Linked DNA regions of Lonchura striata. The protein of the gene in region 1 purifies or fractionates together with the protein of each later gene. This does not show direct contact. Links are inferred from orthologs where the notes say so. Each region holds a gene or a part of one and is shown on either strand. Other genes may lie near its edges. The genes, in order: PRPF40A, NCBP3 and RBM25.

The links.
Region 2: the proteins of PRPF40A (region 1) and NCBP3 purify together in Homo sapiens (affinity purification with mass spectrometry; 3 studies listed by BioGRID and IntAct, counting the BioPlex papers as one, with this or other methods). This does not show direct contact. The link is inferred for Lonchura striata from reciprocal best matches to the Homo sapiens genes PRPF40A and NCBP3.
Region 3: the proteins of PRPF40A (region 1) and RBM25 purify together in Homo sapiens (affinity purification with mass spectrometry; 5 studies listed by BioGRID and IntAct, with this or other methods). This does not show direct contact. The link is inferred for Lonchura striata from reciprocal best matches to the Homo sapiens genes PRPF40A and RBM25.

The regions. Positions count from the first base shown.
Region 1 is NC_134610.1:1,399,926-1,407,854, forward strand, and holds the start of PRPF40A (pre-mRNA-processing factor 40 homolog A), read left to right. Parts: upstream 1-4,920; 5' UTR 4,921-4,973; coding exon 4,974-5,009; intron 5,010-7,387; coding exon 7,388-7,525; intron 7,526-7,929.
Region 2 is NC_134622.1:6,723,087-6,730,314, forward strand, and holds the start of NCBP3 (nuclear cap-binding protein subunit 3), read right to left. Parts: upstream 3,062-7,228; 5' UTR 3,020-3,061; coding exon 2,867-3,019; intron 1,294-2,866; coding exon 1,228-1,293; intron 499-1,227; coding exon 393-498; intron 1-392. UniProt on the Homo sapiens protein: Associates with NCBP1/CBP80 to form an alternative cap-binding complex (CBC) which plays a key role in mRNA export. NCBP3 serves as adapter protein linking the capped RNAs (m7GpppG-capped RNA) to NCBP1/CBP80.
Region 3 is NC_134608.1:35,553,446-35,560,350, reverse strand, and holds the start of RBM25 (RNA-binding protein 25), read right to left. Parts: upstream 3,044-6,905; 5' UTR 2,929-3,043; intron 1-2,928. UniProt on the Homo sapiens protein: RNA-binding protein that acts as a regulator of alternative pre-mRNA splicing. Involved in apoptotic cell death through the regulation of the apoptotic factor BCL2L1 isoform expression.

The DNA.
Region 1 (7,929 bases):
TGCCCGCTGGATCCCATGGGATGGGATCCCCCTGGATCCACTGGAGCAAATCCCGCCGGATCCCACTGGATGGATCCAGATGGATCCCATTGCATTGAATCCCGCTGGATCCCACTGGAGCAAATCCCACCAGATCCCATTTCATTTGATCCAGCTGGATCCCATTGCATTGAATCCTGCTGGATCCCGTTGCATGAAATTCCACTGGATCCTACTGGATGGACCTTGCTGGATCCCATTGCATTGAATCCTTCTGGATCCCACTGGATGGATCCTGCTGGATTCCATTTTATTGAATCCCATTGGATCCCACTGGATGAATCCTGCTGGATAGAATCCTGCTGGATCCCATTGGATTGAATCCCACAGGATCCCATTGGATGGAATACCATGGGATCCCACGGGATGGATCTCACTGGATGGATCCCACTGGATGCAGTTGGATGGAATCCCACTGAATGGAACCCCACTGGATCCTCCTGTTGCATGGATCCTGCTGGATGGATCCCACTGGATGGATCCTGCTGGATCCTGTTGCTTGGATCCCACTGGATCCCATTGGATGGATTGCACCAGATGGATCCCACTGGATGAATCCCACTAGATGGAGCCCGTTGCATGGATCCCGCTGGATCCTGTTGGATGGATCCCACTGCACGGATCCTGTGGGATGGATCCCATTGCATGGATCCCGTTGGATCCCACTGGATGGATCCCACTGGATGGATCCTGTTGGATGGATGTCGCTGGATCCCATTGGATGGATCCCGTTGCATGGAACCGGTTGCATGGATCCCACGGGATGCATCCCACTGGATGGATCCCACCGGATGGATCCCACTGGTTGCATCCCGTTGGATGGATGCTGCTGGATCCTGTTGCATGGATCTCACTGCACGGATCCCGCAGGACGGATCCCGCCTTTGGGAATGCCCCGAGCGCGGTTCCCCGGCGGGGCTGGAGCCGCGGCTCCGGCAGCCAAACCGCGTTTTCCCGGGAATGCCAGAATTCCAAAGGCACGGGAAATGAAAAATCCATTTCCAAGTCCTCTCCTTTCCCTCCTTGCCCGGCCGCCGATTCAGGATGCCGGGACAAGCCGAGATTCCCTGTGCGAGCCCTCTCCCTGCTGGCCGCTCCAGGAATTCGCCTGGAATTCTCTGCCTTTCCACAGGAAATCCTGGGAAACACCCGAGAGCAATTTTATATTCAGTTTACAGGAAATAAAAGTTTTTCTACGAGAAAAAATAAAGATCACTGGTTAAATATATTCCAGCTAACAGGTAAAATTCCATGGAAAGGGAATTCCAGAGCTCATTGTCCCAAATATCTTATATTCCAGAATTCCATGTTTCAGAATTTGCGTTGCAGAATTTAAATTTCAGGGGTTTTATTTCAAAATTTGCGTTCCTGAATTTTTATTTCAGAATTTTCACTTCTGTTTTTATTTTGGAGGTTTTTATTCCTGAATTCGCATTTCAGAATTTGCGTCTCGGGGTTTTTTATCTCAGAGTTTGCGTTTTCAAATTTACATTGCACAGTTTTCTATTTTAGAACTTTCAGCTCAGATTTTTTTATTTCAGAATTTCTATTTCAGAATCTGCAATTCAGAATTTTTATTTCAGAATTTCTATTTCAGAATTTCTATTTCAGAATCTGCAATTCAGAATTTTTATTTCAGAATTTTTATTTCAGCATTTCTATTTTCAGAATTTCTATTTTCAGAATTTCTATTTTCAGAATCTGCAATTCAAAAGTTTTATTTCAGAATTTTTACTTCAAAGTTCTCTTATTTCAGAATTTGTATTACAATTTTTAAAAAATTTTGGAGTTCTGTATTTCCTACAAATCCTGCCTGAAAATCCAGGTTAAAAAGCAGAAGTTTCCTCCAGGATCAGGAAGAAGAGTGAAGGATTGGATGCTCTATCAAAATTTCTGTAAAAACACAAAAAAAAGTTTAAAAAATCAGGAAAAAAAATTAAATCAATTCACTTGATTTGGACTGATTTGAGGCAGCTGTGCTTAAAAATAAAGAAATAAAAATACTCCAAGTACTAAAGTTACACCTTGGGCTGCCAAAAGCAGCTGTGCCCCGCTGGAGCTCTGCTCCCTGCACACCGGGAGAGACTGAAATGAGATTTCAAGATTTAATTGAAAATCAATTTAAATTTTAATTTCACTGCTTGATCATGGCCGAAAAATCGGATTAATCAAGACCTTTTTGGGTGGATTTAGAGAATTCTTTAAGCTCGGGGAGGTGAGGGTTGGTGTTTATCCCAAGAGTCCAAGGAAGAACCTGGGAGAGGGGAGGTGTCCCTGCCCACGGGAATGTGGGATTGCAGGAATTTTTGTCCTTTTTTATCCCAATAATTCCATATTTCCATGAGCCGAGCCAAACCAGCCCCTGGCTGACAGCAGCCACGGGATTGATTAAATATCTGTACCCCAAAATGCAAAATGAGGTGTTTGAAAACCGTGGAGGCGTGTGGAAATCCAGGAATATCATGGAAAATAAATCCACATCCCTGACGATCCCTCTGCTCAAGGGGAAGAACGAGACATGGGCAGGGGACAGGAAAATATTCCAAGTTTTGTAACTTCAGGAAGAAAAACATGGATAAATAAACATGCCAAGGGGGCAGAGATCATTCCCTGGATATCCTGAGTCGTTCCGCTTTGGAGTCCCCACTTAAATTCATTTATCCCGCAGAATTGGGGATTCTGGCTGGGAGGGATTTTGGGAATTGGGAATTCTGGCTGGGAGGGTGGGCTGGAATTCCCAAAGAAGCTGAGGCTGCCCCTGGCACAGCCACGGCCTCGCAGCTGCCAGAGCTCCCGGAGCGCGTCCCGATCCCAGCGGGACATTCCCGATTCCCAACGGGACATTCCCCATTCCCAATGGGACACTGCCCATTCCTCCGGGACATTCCTGATCCCCAGCAGGACACTCCCCATTCCCAATGGGACATTTCCAATGGAACATTCCTGGTTCCCAATGGGACATTCCCAGCGGGACACTCCCGGTTCCCAACGGGACATTCCCGGTTCCCATTCCCGATCCCAGCGGGACACTCTCGGTTCCCAATGGGACATTCCCGGTTCCTATTCCCGGTTCCCAATGGGACATTCCTGGTTCTCAATGGGACATTCCCGGTTCCCATTCCCGATCCCAGCGGGACACTCTCGGTTCCCAATGGGACATTCCCGGTTCCTATTCCCGGTTCCCAATGGGACATTCCCGGTTCCCAATGGGACATTCCCGGTTCCTATTTCCGGTTCCCAATGGGACATTACTGGTTCCCATTCCCAATCCCAGCGGGACATTCTCCATTCCCAATGGGACATTCCCATATTCTCAATGGGACATTCCCTGTTCCCATTTCCCGGTTCCCATTCCCTGTTCCCATTTCCCGGTTCCCACTCCCGGTTCCCATTCCCGATCCCAGAGGGACATTCCCATATTCTCAATGGGACATTCCCTGTTCCCATTCCCTGTTCCCATTTCCCGGTTCCCATTCCCTGTTCCCATTTCCCGGTTCCCACTCCCGGTTCCCATTCCCGATCCCAGAGGGACATTCCCATATTCTCAATGGGACATTCCCTGTTCCCATTTCCCGGTTCCCATTCCCTGTTCCCATTTCCCGGTTCCCACTCCCGGTTCCCATTCCCGATCCCAGAGGGACATTCCCTGTTCCCATTTCCCGGTTCCCATTCCCTGTTCCCATTTCCCGGTTCCCACTCCCTGTTCCCATTCCCGATCCCAGCGGGACATTCCCTGTTCCCATTCCCGATCCCAGCGGGACATTCCCTGTTCCCATTCCCTGTTCCCATTTCCCGGTTCCCATTCCCATTCCCTGTTCCCATTCCCGATCCCAGCGGGACATTCCCTGTTCCCATTCCCGGTTCCCATTCCCGGTTCCCATTCCCGGTTCCCATTCCCGATCCCAGAGGGACATTCCCGGTTCCCATTCCCTGTTCCCATTCCCGGTTCCCATTCCCGGTTCCAGCGGGACATTCCTCATTCCCAATGGGACATTCCCTGTTCCCATTCCCTGTTCCCATTCCCTGTTCCCATTTCCCGGTTCCCATTCCCATTCCCGGTTCCCATTCCCTGTTCCCATTCCCTGTTCCCATTCCCGGTTCCCATTCCCTGTTCCCATTCCCGGTTCCCATTCCCGGTTCCCATTCCCGATCCCAGCGGGACATTTCCTGTTCCCATTCCCGGTTCCCATTCCCGGTTCCCATTCCCATTCCCGGTTCCCATTCCCGATCCCCGCGGCCGCTCCCCTCAGCGGCACCAACCACTGCGCGCGGCCCGGGGGGGGGACCGGCGCCACCCCGGCCGCGCTCGGCACGTACCACCGTCACGCAGAGGGGGGGGTACACTGACCCGGCGCGTACCACCCGCGTCCGCCTGAGGGGAGCTCTACCGCCACCTCCCGCCGAGTTGGAGCTGCGGCGCGCGAAACCACCCCCTCCTTCCGGCGCTGTTGGTGCCGCCCGGCGCAGCGCGCACCTCCCCCGGCCCCACGTGAGCGCTCTCCCGGCGTGCCCCGCGCTCGGCCGCCGCAGCCGCCGCTCCGCTCCGCGCGCCGCGCTCCCGGCCGAGCCGCCCGCGCCGCCGCGGGGCCGCCCCGCTCCCCGCCAGCATGTCCGGCGGCGACTCCACCGCCGCGGCCGCCGCCGCCTCCCCGCAGCCTCTGCCGTTCTCTCTGCCGAAACCGCCGCCCCTGATGCAGCTGACTCCGGGCGACGCGGTGCGGCCGGTGGGCTCGGGCGCGGACCAATCGCCGAAGAGCGCGCGGCTGGCGGCGCGGCCCGATTGGCCGGCGGGGAAGCCGGTCAGCCTGCTGGCGCCGCTGCTGCCGCCCCGCGGCGAGCCCGAGCCGCTGCTGCCCTTCGGGCCCGCCGCGCCGCGCCCGCCCCTGCGCGGCCGCCTGCTGGGCCGCTGCGGCGGCTCGCTGCTCAGCCCCGCCATGCGCCCCGCCGCCGTGGACCGCGCCTCGCTCATGGTCAGTGCCGCGCCGGGCCGGGGGAGCGGGGGCAAATCCATGAACGGGCTCGGGGAGCTGGCCCGCGCGGGGGTGGAGTTCCTGCTCCTGTGCAGGTGGGATTCCTGGGTATCGGTTCTTGTCTGTAAAACCCTCTCTGGGCACCTGGAGCCCGCACAGGGAAGGAGTTCTTGCGTGTGTTCCTGGGCATCAGTCCCTGCCCATCAGACCTCTCTGGGCACCTGGAGCCCGCACAGGGAAGGAGTTCTTGCTTGTGTTCCTGGGCATCAGTCCCTGCCCATCAGACCTCTCTGGGCACCTGGAGCTCATACAGGGAAGGAGTTCTTGCTTGTGTTCCTGGGCATCAGTCCGTGCCCATCAGACCTCTCTGGGCACCTGGAGCTCATACAGGGAAGGAGTTCTTGCTTGTGTTCCTGGGCATCAGTCCCTGCCCATCAGACCTCTCTGGGCACCTGGAGCTCATACAGGGAAGGAGTTCTTGCTTGTGTTCCTGGGCATCAGTCCGTGCCCATCAGACCCTCTCTGGGCACCTGGAGCCCACACAGGGAAGGAGTTCCTGCTCCTGTGCAGGTGGCACCTCGTGGGTATCGGTTCTTGTCTGTAAAGCCCTCTCTGGGCACCTGGAGCCCGCACAGGGAAGGAGTTCTTGCTTGTGTTCCTGGGCATCAGTCCGTGCCCATCAGACCTCTCTGGGCACCTGGAGACCACACAAGGAAGGAGATCCTGTTCCTCTGCTGGTGCCATTCCTGCGCATCAGTCCCTGCCTGTCAAATCCTCCCTGGGCACCTGGCACCTGTATAAGGATGGAGTTCCTGCTCCTGTGCAGGTGGCACTACCTGGGCGTCAGTCCCTGCCCATCAGACCCTCTCTGGGCATCTAGAGCCCGAATAAGGAAGGAGTTCTTCCTTGTGTTCCTGGGCATCAGTCCCTGCCCATCAGACCTCTCTGGGTACCTGGAGCTCACACAAGGAAGGAGTTCCTGTTCCTGTGCAGATGGCATTCCTGGGCATCAGTCCCTGATAGTCACCTGCACAGAGAAGGAATTCTTGGTCCTCTGCTGGTGGCATTCCTGCGCATCACTCCTTGCCTGTCACCCACGCAAGGATGGAGTTCTTGCTTCTGTGCAAGTGGCACTTCCAGGTGGCACTTCCTGGGCATCAGTCCCTGCCCATCAGACCTCTCTGGGCACCTGGAGCCCACACAAGGAAGGAGATCCTGCTCCTGTGCAGGTGGCATTCCTGGGCATCAGTCCCTGCCTGTCACCCACACAGAGAAGGAATTCTTGGTCCTGTGTAGGTGGCACTTCCTGGGCATCAGTCCCTGCCCATCAGACCCTCTCTGGGCACCTGGAGCTCACACAGGGAAGGAGTTCTTGCTTGTGTTCCTGGGCATCAGTCCCTGCCCATCAGAGCTCTCTGGGCACCTGGAGCCCACACAAGGAAGGAGTTCCTGCTCCTGTGCAGGTGGCACTTCCTGGGCATCAGTCCTTGCCTGTCACCCACGCAAGGATGGAGTTCTTGCTTCTGTGCAAGTGGCACTTCCAGGTGGCACTTCCTAGGCATCAGTCCCTGTCCATCAAACCCTCTCTGGGCACCTGACACCCTCACAGGGAAGGAGTTCCTGCTCCTGTGCAGGTGGCATTCCTGGGCATCAGTCCCTGCCTGTCACCCACACAAGGAAGGAGTTCTTGGTCCTGTGCTGGTGGGGCTTCCTAGGCATCAGTCCCTGCCCACCAAACCCTCTCTGGGCAGTGATGCCCGCACAGGGAAGGAATTCTTGGTAGTGTGCAGGAGGCACTTCCTGGGCATCACTCCCTGCCCATCAAACCCTCTCTGGCACCTGGAGCCCACACAGGAAGAAGTTCCTACTCGTGTGCAGGTGGGGCTTTTTGGGCATGAGTCCCTGCCCCCCAAACCCTCTCTGGGCACCTGTCACCCACACAAGGAAGGAATCATTGAAAAACTGAAAGGTGCGGAAATTAAGGGAGAATTCCTCCCCTGTGAGGGTGGGGATTCCTGGGGTGGAATTCCAGGCTGCCTCATCCCTGGAAGTGTCCAAGGCTAGGTTGGAGCACCTGGGACAGTGGAAGGTGTCCCAGAGGCTGAAACTGGAGGCATTCAGGTCCCTCCTACCCAAACCATTCTGGGATTGTGTCTTCAATAATTTGGTTTTTTTTTTCCCTTTCCTGCTAACTATATTTTCCAAATGGAAACTCTGCCTGGGTTTTATCCTAAGGAACTCCGAGAGCTGTGGAACAGAAATCTCTGGGAGTGTTTGAATCCCTGAAAAGCCCAGGGAAGGGGATCTCCTTTTCCCCCTGCTGGGTGTGTCTGGGGCGCTCGCCTCGCCGCTGATTTTTTTCCCTGGTTGTTTTCCAGATGGGCCACCCGGGAATGCCCCACTACCCCCCGATGGGGATGCACCCCATGGGGCAGAGACCCCCCAACATGCCCCCGGTCCCCCACGGGATGATGCCGCAGATGATGCCCCCCATGGGGGGACCCCCGATGGGGCAGGTAAGGCAATTCCAGCAGCTCCTGCTCCATCCCTCAGGAAAAGGGATCCCTCCAGCTCCCTGGGAGAGGGAGAGGAGAGAATTCGGGAGTTTATCCTAACCGGGGGAAAACCCTTCTTACGGGCAGCAGGGAGTGGATGCACCTTGGTGACTTCAGTTAGTAATTGGTATGGGAGCAGGTAATTAATGCACCTCTAGCTTCATTTTCAATCCAGAATTTGGGATCGAGTCAAGTTTTTTGGAATGAAAACAGATAATGTAATGCACCTCTTAATTTTCAATCCAGAATTTGGGATTGATTCAAGTTGTTTTTTGGAAGGAGAAAAGGTAATTAATGCACCTGTAACTTGAATTATCAATCAATATATTGGGATCGATTCATGTTTTTTGGAATGGGAAAAGATA
Region 2 (7,228 bases), on another chromosome or scaffold:
ACAGAGTCTGATCTCCTTGTGCACAGGACACAGAGTCCTCCACGTGTACCCACACAGTGCTCCAGGGTTTTTACAGAGCATTTAAAGATTCTTAAAGCAGCACTGATCCAGAAGGTGAATCCTGGGAATTGAGCAATAGTAAATAAGACACACAAAAATGTCATCTTTGTGCTGGGGCTGGTAAAACAAGGAGTGAAATGGAAAGTGTCAAACAGGTTAAAAAACAACGATGTGCAAACGAGAAGGTGGAAAAACCTCAAAGTGATTCCTTTCAGCAGTAATCTGGCAAAACCTCTGGGAATGTAGGAAATATTGCAGGATAAATCAAGTCAAGACACTGTGAGGGGGTGACTAAAGGGATCTTTGCTCCTGACTGCTGGATGAACTTGTACCTTTCTTCATCATGTCCCGGTCCAGGGCCACGTTCCTCTGGGCCAGATTCACCTCAGCCCGAAAATGGAAGCGTTTGGCTCTTTGCTCCTTCTTCTCAATTGCTTCCTGCAAAATGCAAAGCAGTGCACTCAAACAAGGTCAATAAACTGCACTGAGGACACTTAAAATCTACCAGACAGCCAACAATTTATATTAACAATTCTGTTAATTCTGGAGAGACCTGTAGGTTTCAGAATGTAGAAGTAATTCACAAAAATATTTCTGTGTCACACAACAGTTTTTGTGTAGGTCCAGCAATGGGAATCAGGATGCATGGGAAACAAGGTGGCTTGAAAAACACAGACTCCATTATGGAACAGGAACATTATCTAGTCCTTGCTAACAAATATTAAATAAAACCCCTCTTCTAAAAGAAGCCTTTCTACCACAGGCAAAATTCATCTTTGAAGATTATATTATTTTTTCCCTTGTTTTTTAATATATACAAAAGTGTAAATTTGTTTCTCTGAGCATGAATTTAACACTGGAGAACTGGCTCCAGAGAATTTTTTAGACTGGCAACTCAGGCTCCTCTTATGTAGCTCACGAATAACAGCCTGCCTGGAACTTGTCCAATTTTGGGAACTGGGAGCTGAGAAGCTCCTTGTTCTCCAAATTTTATTAGGAAGCACTATAGGTTTCTGTATCTTTGGAATATGCAGTGATTCATGCAGCTGAATGACCTCAACACCAGGCTAAGCCTTCGTCCATGTTGGGAAAGAAAGAAATGAAATGGTTCCATCTCTCCAGTGGCAAAAATGACAAAATGTTGAAGAGCCATAGCACAAAAATTACCTTGGAGGTCACATCTATGCCAGTGATGAAACTTCCAGCTTTGTTTTCATATCTCCTACTGGTGTCCTGAAACAGAGCAAAATGGTGATGAAATCTCAATGAGCACTGAAAGCAACACACTTGTTACACGGAAAAATTCACCTGAGCATTCCTACAAGAAACAGAATCTCTTTTCCTTGATCCAAGCTACATCCCTGGACAGAGAGGCACCCTCATGTCAGTGAAAGTAAAAGCACATGAACTGAACCAAACTTCCCTCACTGTAAGGATTCTTTCCTTTGACAGAATTTAGTTTCTATGTCAGCTGCTGCCAAGCTTTTACTCTCTCAGTAATACAGAAAAAGTCATCAAACATCTTTCCTGAGTAAGACTTCCACAATTTTGGGTTTGGGTATAATTTCCTTGTAACACATGAGCAGATTTAACAGTGATACCTGATTATTGAAATGTCAGTTTGCAGTTTTTAATCTCATAAAGTGAGAACAGCAAGCCACATCCACAATGAAACAAGTAGCATTTTATTCCTATCATTATTTCAACCCCAAGTTCCAAATCGCGAGGTGAAATACTTCAGTTTTGATACTGAGAGGGGGTAAAAATGGAGAATGAGAGGGGGAAAAATTACAAGTTTCCTCTCTGTCAGTCAGGACTGGTGAATTTAGAGAGGGACTAAACCCCACAGCCCCTGGACCAATGACCCAATTCTGTGCCCTCCATTGTTTGCATTTGTAAAATGGCACCTCTTCATTCTGACATTCTCAACTGTCAGAAGTTTAGAGCTGGAAGAACACCTCCTGCTTTCTTTAGGAGCAAAAGAGTTCTTTACACTTGTGCTGCAATAATTACTTTGGCTAAAGGACCATTTCTAGAAGTAGGTTAGTCTCAGTTTAGAAAGACCGAAGAACACACACAATCCAACCGCTTTTCTTAGTAACAGCACCAAAAGTTGCACTAATGCTGCCAAATGGCCAGAGTTACTAGGAAAGGAAAAGCAAAGTAAACATGATTTTAAACGTTGAAACCCCACAGTGTCTGAGGTTGACTCACGGAGCACAAGGAAGTACAGCACGATGCTGTCTCTCAGGCCACATGTTGTGTAAAAGCACAAGCACGTTGGTAGACAAGCTAATTAAAGATTAGCTTCCAAAACAATTTTCACCCAAGTTTTGAGAGCAAAAGATTACTTAGGATTTTAAAACTCTGACCCATTTCTAGTTGTTAAACCTAATCCTACTAAAACTTGTAGAGAAACAATCAACGAGTGAAAAAGGGCAGAAAAACATCGTGAAGGAAACCCACTCATCAGAGCCCACCCTCCCAGCTCTGCTATCCGCCGTCAGCCCCTGTTCCCTGCTCCAGGTATTCCCTGAGATCCCGGCATCAAACATTCCCTGTACCCCCTCCACCCACAGCTTCCTCCACACCCCAACACTGCACCCCAAATCCTCTTCTCCACCGCTTCCTTTATTCCGCCCGTCCCCAGGCACATCCCGCCCGCTTCCTCAGGACTCGCCCCCGAGCCCCCTCCTATTCCCTGCTATTCCCAAGAATCCCCCCAAAAGCCCGCACAGAGCGCTCAGGCACCCCGGATCCAGCCGCCGGAGCCAGCCCCTCCTCGCCCACACCCCTCGGGCCTCACCGGGATGAGCTCCCGCAGCGAGCGCCTCACAGGGATGGTCTCCAGCTCTCCCTCCTCCACCTCCATGGGCTCGGGCTCGGCGCCGCGCGGCTCCGCCGTGGCGCTGCTCGCCTCCGCCTTCACCGAGATCCGCAGGCCCCGCACGGCCGCCATGGCTCCGCCAGGCCCGCCCAGCGCGGCCAGCGAGACGAGCGCGGGGCGGCACGGAGCGGCGGGGCGGCTCCGAGCGCGGAGAGCGGCCGGGAGCGCCGGGCGGGCGGAGCGCCGCGATCCGAGCGCCGCCCGCAGCGCGGCGGGGCCGGCCTCCCCCGAGAGCGAGCGGGCCCTGAGAGCCAGCGGGACCCCCGGGTGCACCCCGAGCCCGGTGCGCCCCGAATCCAACGCGCCCCGAGCCCGGTGCACCCCGAATCTAACGCGCCCCCGAGACCCGGCGCACCCCGAATCCAACGCATCCCGAGACTCAGCTCACCCCGAATCCAGCGCACCCCGAGCCCGGTGCGCCCCGAATCCAACGCACCCCGAGCCCGGTGCGCCCCGAATCCAACGCACCCCGAGCCCGGTGCGCCCCGAATCCAACGCGCCCCCGAGACCCGGTGCGCCCCGAATCCAACGCGCCCCCAAGACCCAGCGCACCCCGAGCCCGCTGCGCCCCCTAAGCCCAACGCACCTGGAGCCCAGCGCGACGCGAGTCCAACGCACCCCGAGACTCAGCTCACCCCGAGACCAGCGCACCCCGAGACTCAGTGCACCCCGAGACTCAGCGCACCCCGAGACTCAGTGCACCCCGAGTCCAACGCACCCCGAGACTCAGCGCACCCCGAGACTCAGTGCACCCCGAGTCCAACGCACCCCGAGTCCAACGCACCCCGAGACTCAGTGTACCCCGAGTCCAAGGCACCCCGAGACCAGCGCACCCCGAGACTCAGCGCACCCTGAGACTCAGCGCACCCCGAGTCCAACGCACCCCGAGACTCAGCACACCCCGCATCCAGCGCACCCCGAATCCAGCGCACTCCGAATCAAGCGCACCCCTAGACTCAGCGCACCCCGAGACGCAGCGCACCCCCAATCCAAGCACAGCGCGAATCCACGCACCGCAAGCCCGGCACGTCCCGGGCCGGACGGAGCCGGTTCAGGGCCCAGGGGCTCAGGGTGGAGAACGGCCACACAGACCGGGCAGAGAGCGCGGCTGCAGCGGGCGAGAGGGCGGCCCCGCCGTGTCCCCGCGTACCCCCGGCCCTGGGGAAAGGCACACGGAGAGCGGACACAGAACTTACATCCTTCCCCTAAAAATGTGTTTTTAAACTATCTGAACTCTAATGTTCAATTTTCCCGTCCATACTAGAGGAATGTTACACCTCTGATAAAAGCAAACTAATTCTCAGCTCGCAGTTCTCTGCAGTGTTGCATCCCGTTGTTCTGAGGCTCAGTTATTCTCTTTGTCCCCTCATCCCAAGGTGTTCAGCTTGTTCCAGGAGAGCAGCCCTGCCTCTTCTTGGCCTAAATAAACCACATGCTTTCATCAGTCCCCATGAGACATTCATTCCCCCACTGACACTAATCAGCTCCATTCCCTCACACACAGCAGACCAGAATCCTGGTCTAGCTGAAGAGTTGCTCCTGCCTTGGCATCATTATTTCACACCACAGCTGCCGGGCTACACAGCCACATCCCACTGTCATTGTGTGTTATTGTCACACCACTAAGAATTCCTGTTACTTCTCCAGCTGCAGGACCCTTCCCTCCAGCTCACGCTGCTCCACACCTCATTTCTGCACATGTTACAAATAAACCCCCTCCAGTCCATCCCCTGGGATGCTTAACTTTCCCTCACAGCTGATGGCACATCCCAGGAAAATTCAAATTTAGACTTTGTCACAAAGACATTTCCCACTTGGCAGCACAAAGGCTCCTCCCCTTACACAAAATCCAGCAGGATCAAGAGATTGTTCTACCCATCACTCACTCCAAGATTATTTATTCTCAAGTCTTCACGCAGAGCTTGTGACACAATGGCTTCTGTCACTGTTCACCAAAAGTGCTACATTTGGCATGGACATCCCACAGCAGCACCTGGTAGGAACTCCTGGCACAGGTGACACTTCCAAGCCAGGTGTGAAGCCAGGTTCCAGGCCACATGAGGCAAAGGAAAGGAATAAACAGGACACAGGCACCCCCTGCGAGCAGCTGAGCCTGAACTAATTGCAAGAGGAAACATTTCTGTGGAAGAAATGCTGTTTCTTAGGTCACAGGGAAAAGAAACCAAGAGATGGAACTTCTTTAGTTTTATTTTTCTAAGTAGGACACAGTACTGCCATGTGATCTAGACCAGCTTGACAAAGCCAAACGCTTCAAGGAGCAGTTGGGACAAGGTTATGTGACCCCAGGTCACCTTGCACTGCTGTCAGCAGAGTGCAGATGAACCTTGGGCTGACCCAGGTGTTTCCTGATTTTGTTTTAACATCCCTTGGATGTCACCTCAGGCAGAACATTGCTGTACTACAGCCCTCCATACTTGGCATCTTTTCAAGATTCACTCATTGCACTCAGCAAGAAACTTTCTACTGATTGAGTGTGGCTTTAGACACTGCCAAAATTTTAGAGCTTCTTAGGAAAAAACAATCTCTGACCAACTGGTAGGGACAATAAAATCAGGAGAAGGAAACCAAACCTGTGTACCACTGGAGCTTTTTACTGCTAGGTGAGTGAATAAAATGTTTTCATAGTATTTTGTACTTTATTCCTTTCAGGATCTTGTAATTAGCAGTGAATTCTTTGGCATTTCAAGCTGATTTAGTTTTATTCTTCTGAGACAGTGTCCCAGAGCTTCGTTTTTCTTTCACATTCCTCTCTGCAATCCCTCTGCCTGTGAAAGATCACCTGAATTCTTAAAATGTTAATTGTTTTCAAACTTGTAGGAAGCAGGTTTAGGCAGAAGAGCTCTGCGTTGTTGTAGCCTTTGTGCAGCAGGGATGGGGCGAAGGTAATAAACTGCTGAGGGATGCAGAGCTTAAATAGGGGAGGAAAAAGAAATTTGGGAAAGGCTACCAGTTATTATCAGAAATGCCAAGTAAGGAAAGGCTTTTACAAATAATGAAGGTGAGAAGGTGACTGTAGAAGAGGAGCTGTGGATAACCTGGAAGCGATCAAGGCCAGGTTGGATGGGGCTCTCAACCTGCCCTAGAGGAAGGTCCCTGTCCACGGCTCGGGGTCGCACCTGGATAATGTACGAGGTCCCTTCCCATCCAAACTATTCCAAAATCCTATGGAATCATTCCAGAATAAAAACACCCACGGGAGGATTTAGGGGTTATTGGTTTCCCGGCTTTGACCACCAGAGAGAGCTCGTGCAGCAGGAGTCCCAACCTGAGCCAAAACCAAAACCAAAACCTGATGGAAAACGCCAATTCCCGCAGTTTTGGGATCGGCGGAAATCGGGAGACGGGGACCGGGAAGGGAGAGGGAAAAAAGAACAGACTCTGGGCCCTCAAAAAATGAGGCTTTTTTGCAGCGGCCTGGCAGGAATCAGGAAAAAATGGTGAATTTTGCTCTAAAAAAGTATTGGTTGATTTGTTTGTTTGAGGTCTGTGAACACTGAACAGAAAGGACACGTGTTCCTGCGGATATGATTTAACTCTCCTGCCGTCCTGGGCTCTCAGCAAGGATCTGCAGCTTTTCAAACCCGTGAAAAACCCATGGAAGTGTGTGTGCTATTCCTGCAGCTGGCCAGCAAACCCCACACATCACCACGGAAACTGGGACTGACCTCCAAAAAGATTAGGCTCACTCCTAGCTCCAGCCCATCTGGAGAGAGAACAGCATCAGCAGAAGAAGGATGTTCATTTGTGAGGCTGAAAGCAAGCACCTGGTGTTTTCTTATGGATTTGATGAACCACAGACTCCCCACCTGTAAGGAAGAATATTTTCTCACTGGGATATTGTGGAGGTTAGTACAACCCTGGAACCTGACACAATGCCAGAGTCCTATGCAGGAGACAGCTACAGGGCCCTACAAAAAACCAGAATATTGGATGCAGGGAGGAGCACAGCACCCTCAGAGTCAGGGATAGCAGTGCTCTAACATTGTTTATGCAAGTGCTGCAACAGGGAGACCACACAGTTGAAAAAGCAGATTCCTTTCTGGAAAAAAGCTCACAGAACTGAGCAGAGCTGGAGCAGAATTCTACACACGTTGACAGATATTACTCTGGCATTTAAGAGATCTTGGAGAATAGTCTAAAAGTGGTACATATTGCTTTGTTTTCACAAATAGAACTCTTAGTTTGTCCATGCCCACACACACATGGCTCCTCTGTGGCACCAGTGGAACCTAAGCTCTTCCCTGTTGCAGACCTCTGTGG
Region 3 (6,905 bases), on another chromosome or scaffold:
CCTAATGTCTCCACTACATGTTTTGGGGAGGCCCACCCCAATAAAACAAATGCCAGTTTGTACGTTTGAGTGCATTTTTTTAATATATTTTCATCCAAAAGGAACCTAGCTTATCCACAATAAGCTAGGAATAGCACAAACCAATATGAAAAAAACTTCCTAAATGATGATGACTGTGATACTTCCTTCAAGAACACATCCTTGATCCAAGTGAACACAGTAACGTAGGTGCATACTTTATTAGCCTCGGGCCATTTCTCTAAGCAGATTTAATTTCTCTAAGCAGATTAATTATATCATGGATGGCAAAACACCTAAGTTTAATGCCATGCAGACTAAGCTCAAAAACAGCCTGAGCTACTAAGGCAAGTGCTACATAAACACAGCTATAATATTCCAGGTTCAACTTTGGCCTAGAATGAACTCAGCTGCCTTCTACACTGCACTTCTGACTTAAGTCCTGGTAGAACCAAGCAACATGCAGAGCAATCTGCACCAATCTTCTGAAACTTGGAGAGAGTACAGGGACAGCCATAGGTTCTAAGGTTAAGTAAAATCCACTGAGACTGGGAAATCTTGTCATGATGAGATGCCTGCTGGGATGGAGCTCTGTCCACTAGGAGCATTCTGGCTGATTTACAACTAAGCAAACGCAGAGAGCTCACCTTAGGGCTGGAAGAAAGTGTCTGAGTCCACACAGAACTCAAAACTACTATGAAACAAGGATCACCATCACCCAGACACTGCTGCCTTGTTCTTCTTTATCATCTCTGACTCCTAGAAGTCCCAATAAGAGGGGACTGAGATTGTACTGGTCTGGCTGCACTGTTAACACAGTAATTTCTTTTTAAATCATAGTATTTTTTAACCTTCTGTTTTACTGACTCCATTTTTTTTAAACAGAGGTGAAGAGATATGTCATAAGCAGAATGCAAACTCAATAAAAATTGCTGGCAGTGAAGGTATTTTAAATTGATAATCCCATCATCTACTTAAGGCAGCATCATAATTCTACCACTGTTACAGAATTAATATCAGTATCTCTGTTTATACATCAGAAACTTTATGTGTTAAAAGTTTTATTAATTTAGAAACTTGCAAAACATCTTAACCAATTTCAAAGTTCCCATGAAGCAACCAGTTACCATACTTACTACTGTTACACCAAAGTTAAAACTGACTGCAAAACCCCTCAAGTCTTAATGCACAAAACTCACGTGTTTTAGGAATGCATACATGAGGTGACATAGCAACAGTGAGAGTATGGCTGACATAGTTTGATTTAATTTTATCTGATTTTAACTTCCTTTCAGTATTTCCCCAAAACACTTCTGCACCACAAAAAGTCTGTGCCTTTAGTCTAGAATAACTTGCACAAAATGGCTGTGCAGGCTGAAGAAAAGATACACAACAAACTTTTCTGTTAAAGTCTGTACTCTCACAGGCTTGTGCCTTGGTCTCTACACAATGGGTGGATATTTAAGCCATTCCATTATAAAAGCAACCTCCTAGTTTGTCACCCAACAAAGAAGCTGTTTATATTATTACTTGTTGTCAAAAAGGCTCCCTAAAAGAAAAATCTTCTATTCCAAGCCAACTGGTTTCCTCAGTGAAAATGACCATTTTCTCAGACCCCTACAGTTTTCTCCAAAATGGCCTGCAAGCAAAGCAAGATTTAAATGTTAAACACCGCACGCATGGGGAGAGATAAAATATATTATAGGTATCCTAAGCTAAAAACAAAAATACTAGTACTTGCTCTAGCTTGTTTTTCAGAAGTCATCTAGAAAGAGTTTAGTAACTGCTGTGGAATAGTTGCATCCCACCCTGTTATTATGAAGCAACACAAAAAGCAACATGTTTACCCCAACCAAAGCCTCCGTCCCAAAGCCCTTTAAGCAGGGCTCCATTAAGTATGTCATGAGAACTTAAAAGATATTTGATTTAATTCCTAATTCTATGCCTCTGCACCTATATAAAACCCTGGTTAGTGAAGTAAGTGACTTTCCATTCTAACTTGGCTATTGACTCTTCCCAAAACAGAAACTCCTTCTCAGGGGAAGTAAGAAACTCTGCTATTCTTCCTTATAATTTGCTCTGGACTCACCCCATAAATGCTGATGCAATACCTGAACCAATGCTTTCCTGCCACACACAAAAAAAGGACCAATACTCAGTGAGTGTATTTTAGGCTCAATGGGCTAAGAAATAGAAAACTTTTGAGAGCTCACTTTCTCTAAGGCCGTTTAAGACCTAAAAAAAGAAACAACAAAACCGTTAGTTGTGTTCAGGATATTCCCTGTGTTGAAACAAAAAACCCCTCCTCCAAGCAGACAAAGGTCTTTTTCTTCAACGGAAAAAGACATTATGAGAAAAACATGCCGTGTGCACATCACAACGGCTCCCGACACGGATGAATCACTCCCGATTATTTTACGCACGACCTGCCAACACGTGTTTTAAGAAGACCACGCCAATCCACGCTAAAGACAATAACTTCCTTGTCGCAATATATCACGTTTCCTAGCGTGATCGGTTTCCCCGACGTGCAAAAGCAAAAATCCCACCCACAGTCTAAGGCGGCCGGGCGCCAGCAAAGCTCCGCGCAGCTCCGGGTCCCGGCCGTGCCACGGGCTCCCCTCGCCTCCCGCGGGGCCGCTCCCGTCCCTCTCGCCGGGGCGGCGGAATGGGCCCCTCCGCGTCCCAGCGGGAGACGACGCGAGCGGGTCTCGCGAGCACCGCCCCGAGGCCGCTCGTCCGTTCCACGCCCCGTCCAGGCCCGAGCCGCCTCCCCAGCGAGCGCCCGCCGCGGCCCAGCGGCCTCGGCCGGTCCCGGCCGTGCCTCCGCCCAGCGGGCGGCCGAGGCGCCGCCGCCGCCTGCCCTCCCTCCTTGCCTCCCTCTTGCCCGCGCAGCCCCCCGGGTCTCACCCTCGGAGCGGAGCGGGGCGGGGATGGCGCGGGGGAGGCGCTGGGCCGGCTGAGGCCCCGCTAGGCCGCGAACGCACCGCGCCGAGCCGCTGCCGCCGCGCCGCGCGGGGTCATGTGACCCGCCTCTTCCGCCAGCGGCCCGGCGTGCACCGCGCCGCGCCACCACAGAGCCGGCCGCGCCAGAGCGCCCCCAGGCGGCGCCGCGGCCGGCCGTGGAGCGGCGGCGGAAGGCGGGCAGCCAAGGGGCATGCGCGCCGCCGCCATCTTTAGCGGGGGCGGCGCGGGGCCGTGACCCGGCCGGAGCGCCGCCATGTCGGGGCCAGGGTGGCCCGAGGGCCTGGAAGCCTCCGGCGGCGGGGCCACGGAGCTTGGCCGTCTGTCAGCCGTCATGGCCCCCTCAGACAGACACCCAGCCCAGGGACGGGCTGTACCGCAGGCAGGGAATCCCCTCCCTCGACCTGCCCTCATTGTTTGGGATGCAGCCCAGGATACAGCTGGCTTTCGTGGAAGGTTCTGTGTGCTGTAAAAGACTTAAGGATTTACACAGCAAAAAGAGTGAGCACTACCTTTTTAGGCAGCCGCATGCTCGTCAGAAAGATGTCACTGTGCTGTTGGGCCTAGCCATGGTCTACAACTGGTAGTTTCTCTGACCTACTTTCAGCATTTGGACTACATTAAGAGCCAATTTTCAACATGACATGCAAGACAGTAATTGCTGTAGTTATACCGCTGTTGGAAATAAGTTGCAAGTGGAAAGAGGAAGTGACTATGAATGAGAAGAACATGATCTTACAGATTATTATGAGGTAGACCACAAAATGACCATGTGCATAAAACTGTTTAAAAAATGTTGGATTAGGTAAGGGAAAAAAATGTGTTGTATTTTCCATTGTTTAAAGAAAAGTGTTCAAAAGACAAGAGTCCAATGACAAAATCTCCACCTGTAGGCTGACTTCTTCAGTACAAAGCAGATTAAAACTATCTGGTTGATGTCATATGTGCTACTGAACAGCCAACAACTGTGTTGGAACTAAGGTCCCATTCATCACCTTGCTTTACGTGATGTGTAAGGGTAGATATTCTAGCAATAGCAGATTTAAGAAATATTTCAAGTTTGACTGCAATTTCTTGCCCACCAGAAACAGCAGTTTTGCCTTCTATTAATTACAGCTTATTCCAAACAGCTGGCATATCTCCCTCAAAATAATACAAATTTAGTAACTACAATACTGACTACTGTTAATAGTTAAAAAATTTTATAAGCATACTAGGAAAACCAAGGAAAAGAAAAAGGCATAACAAAAATTTTCAGAATCTTCTCTGTGTTGTCTCAGACAACAACAGCTCAGCTTAAAAAGAAATGTGAATCCCAAACTATTTTGTACTGCTGTAATAAGTTTTTATTTACAGGAAACATTGCAAAGGCTTTGCTCATGTACACATTCATCTATTTTTTTAGCCAAAGAAAGAGGCTATTTTGCATTTATTCTTCTTACACAAATAAACTATAGCCTTCTGTATCCTTCTTAATCAAGGAAGAATAGCTGCAGAAGTATCCAGTAAATGTAGCTATTTTCCTGTCTTTACTCTTTCTGCTATGGGATTTTAGAATTGCCCACCCCTGGTGCCTGTATTATCTTCCTGCCTTTACTTATGCAACTGAGATCCCTTTTCCAGATACTGATCACTATTCATTTTTTTCAGTTCTCACGGCAAACTCCAGAATTTTGTGCTCAAGCCAAGCATGAAGATTGTAGTACATGGCTTTTAATATTAAGGTTAAAATTAAGAGGTGCGTTTTTGTCTGCCTTGTATTTCAAGCATGAGAAATCATCCCAAAAATGTTCGGCAGTACCTCAGGGTACCGGGGTCACATTGTTTCTAGACTATGTATTTTAAAAATTTTATATGCATGTTTTTCTTCCCTTCTTCATATCCTTTAATTGCTCCACCACATTGCCAGTCTAAATAGAGGCACTTCGAGGAAGATCCCTTAGATGCCAGACTCATTGATCTCATTCCTTGGCTCCTCTGAATAGCACTGTGAGATTTAAAAGTTTCTACTTCATATGTATTAGTTTAATTCATTATTCGGGATCTTTTCAGTCTGAAGACATTTGGTTCACCAAAACTGTATTCTTGTAGATGTCAGTCTATTTTGTCAATCTCTTAAATTAATCTTTCATGAAAATACATTATTGTAACAGCGTGAAAGAGAACAGGGAAGAGAGTTACTGTGCCAGTCTTCAGTCATTCATCATCACTAAGCTACATAAAAAAATAATTAAATCATGTATATGCCTACACAAATATATATATATAGTACAGTCTAGTGTAATGAAAGTTCTTCAGCAATACACTTTAATTCTGAGAGGGCCTCAGTCATTCCTTGTGTTAGAAAATTCATTGATGCCTCATTTTCACAGTAATTGGATCTGTTGACTCAGTTTTGTGAAGTGATGATACTTCAAAGTAATTACCTTGTAATTTAACTCCATTTTAAAACTGTTTGTCCAAAACTGAAGCAGGAGACCAAAGAACAGGGCACCTTGTAGCTGTCTATTAGTCGTATCAATTTGTAATGTCCACTGAAGGAAAAGAGTGCATGTCCCTCCTCTGATGAAGTAACCACTAGCATTTGAGCCAAATAACCAGCCGAAAACTCTTGTTACTTTAGAAGATGAATTGCCTGTGCACTGGTTATGCTACAACATGTTTTTGCATATTATCTAAATCAGCGAATGAAAAACAACTCATTATGAGCCAACATTGGGTTTGGAGCCACTACTGGCCAAGGCTGCTTCCTCACCGAATGCTTTCTTTGATCATCTCTGTCTGGCGTTCACCTCCCATTCCCATGGCTCCAGTGAATCTGCCATTTCTTGGCAGGTGTGTGCCTCTGTTTTGGACCTGCAGTCCCTTTCAGCTATATAAATTATGGCTGTTTACCCATAGGTTGAAGCTACAGTCATGGAAGAAACCCCAGAGGCTCCAGTGACAGTGACCAGTGGCTCTCTATGTCAAGACTTCATTTAAACCGATGAGTGGCAGGTGAGATTTGGGCACCAAGTGCTCTCCTCTCAGGTGGACACTGTGATCGATCCATTCGTTTGCCAGACGTGGAGGCCTGGAGCAGCTGCCTTGTCATTCTCCAGGCGGTGGGAGGAGAGAGCTTCGCTACATTTTTCACCCCTTTAAACCCTTCTGGGGGCTGTTTACACTCCTCCGGCGCAGCTCCTTGGGAACCCAGGCAGGTGTGAGACAGTGGGGCGAAAACGAAATGAGGGGAGTAAAAAACTTCGTTGTCACCGCAAGGTCCGCGGCACCGCGCCCCCCCCGCCACGGGCACCGCACGTCCCGGCCGGCGCGGCGAGCCCGGGGCGGTGCAGCCTCCGGACTACAACTCCCGGCGTGCCAGCGCCGCCCCGCCTCCAGCTCGCCGCCTTCCCGTCTCCGCGGTGAGAAAATAACCCCGAAGTTCCCCGCGATCAGCTGATCCCGGCTGACAACGAGGGAGCGGGCGGAGGGGGCGCGGGTCCTGGCCGGCCCTGCCCTGCTCAGTTCCCCCGGGCGCCCCGACTGCATGGTCGACCCCTGGGGGAGAAGAACCGGGAGATCCCCCCCGGGCGCGGAGGGCACGGGGGGGAGGAGGAAGCCGCGGCCGGGACCCGAGTCCTTAGTCACCGGGTGCCGGCGGGAGGAAGGGGAAGAAAGGTGGCCGCCGGCTTGTAAACAATAGCCCGGCTCGCGGCGCCCCGTGCCGCGCCGCCTTTGTTCCCAGTCCCGCCGCGGCTCCCGCCCGCTGCCGCTGCTCGGCGGGAGGAACCCGGGGGCTTCCCCCTTGCTGGCCGGCCGGCGCCGGGCGCAGCCCCAGGTAGGTCTGGGCGCGGGGGGAGGCGCCGGCCGGCACCGCCGTTACGTAACCGCGGGCGGGTGGCGGGGTCCGCCTGCAGCCCCCGCGGGCCGACGAGACACGA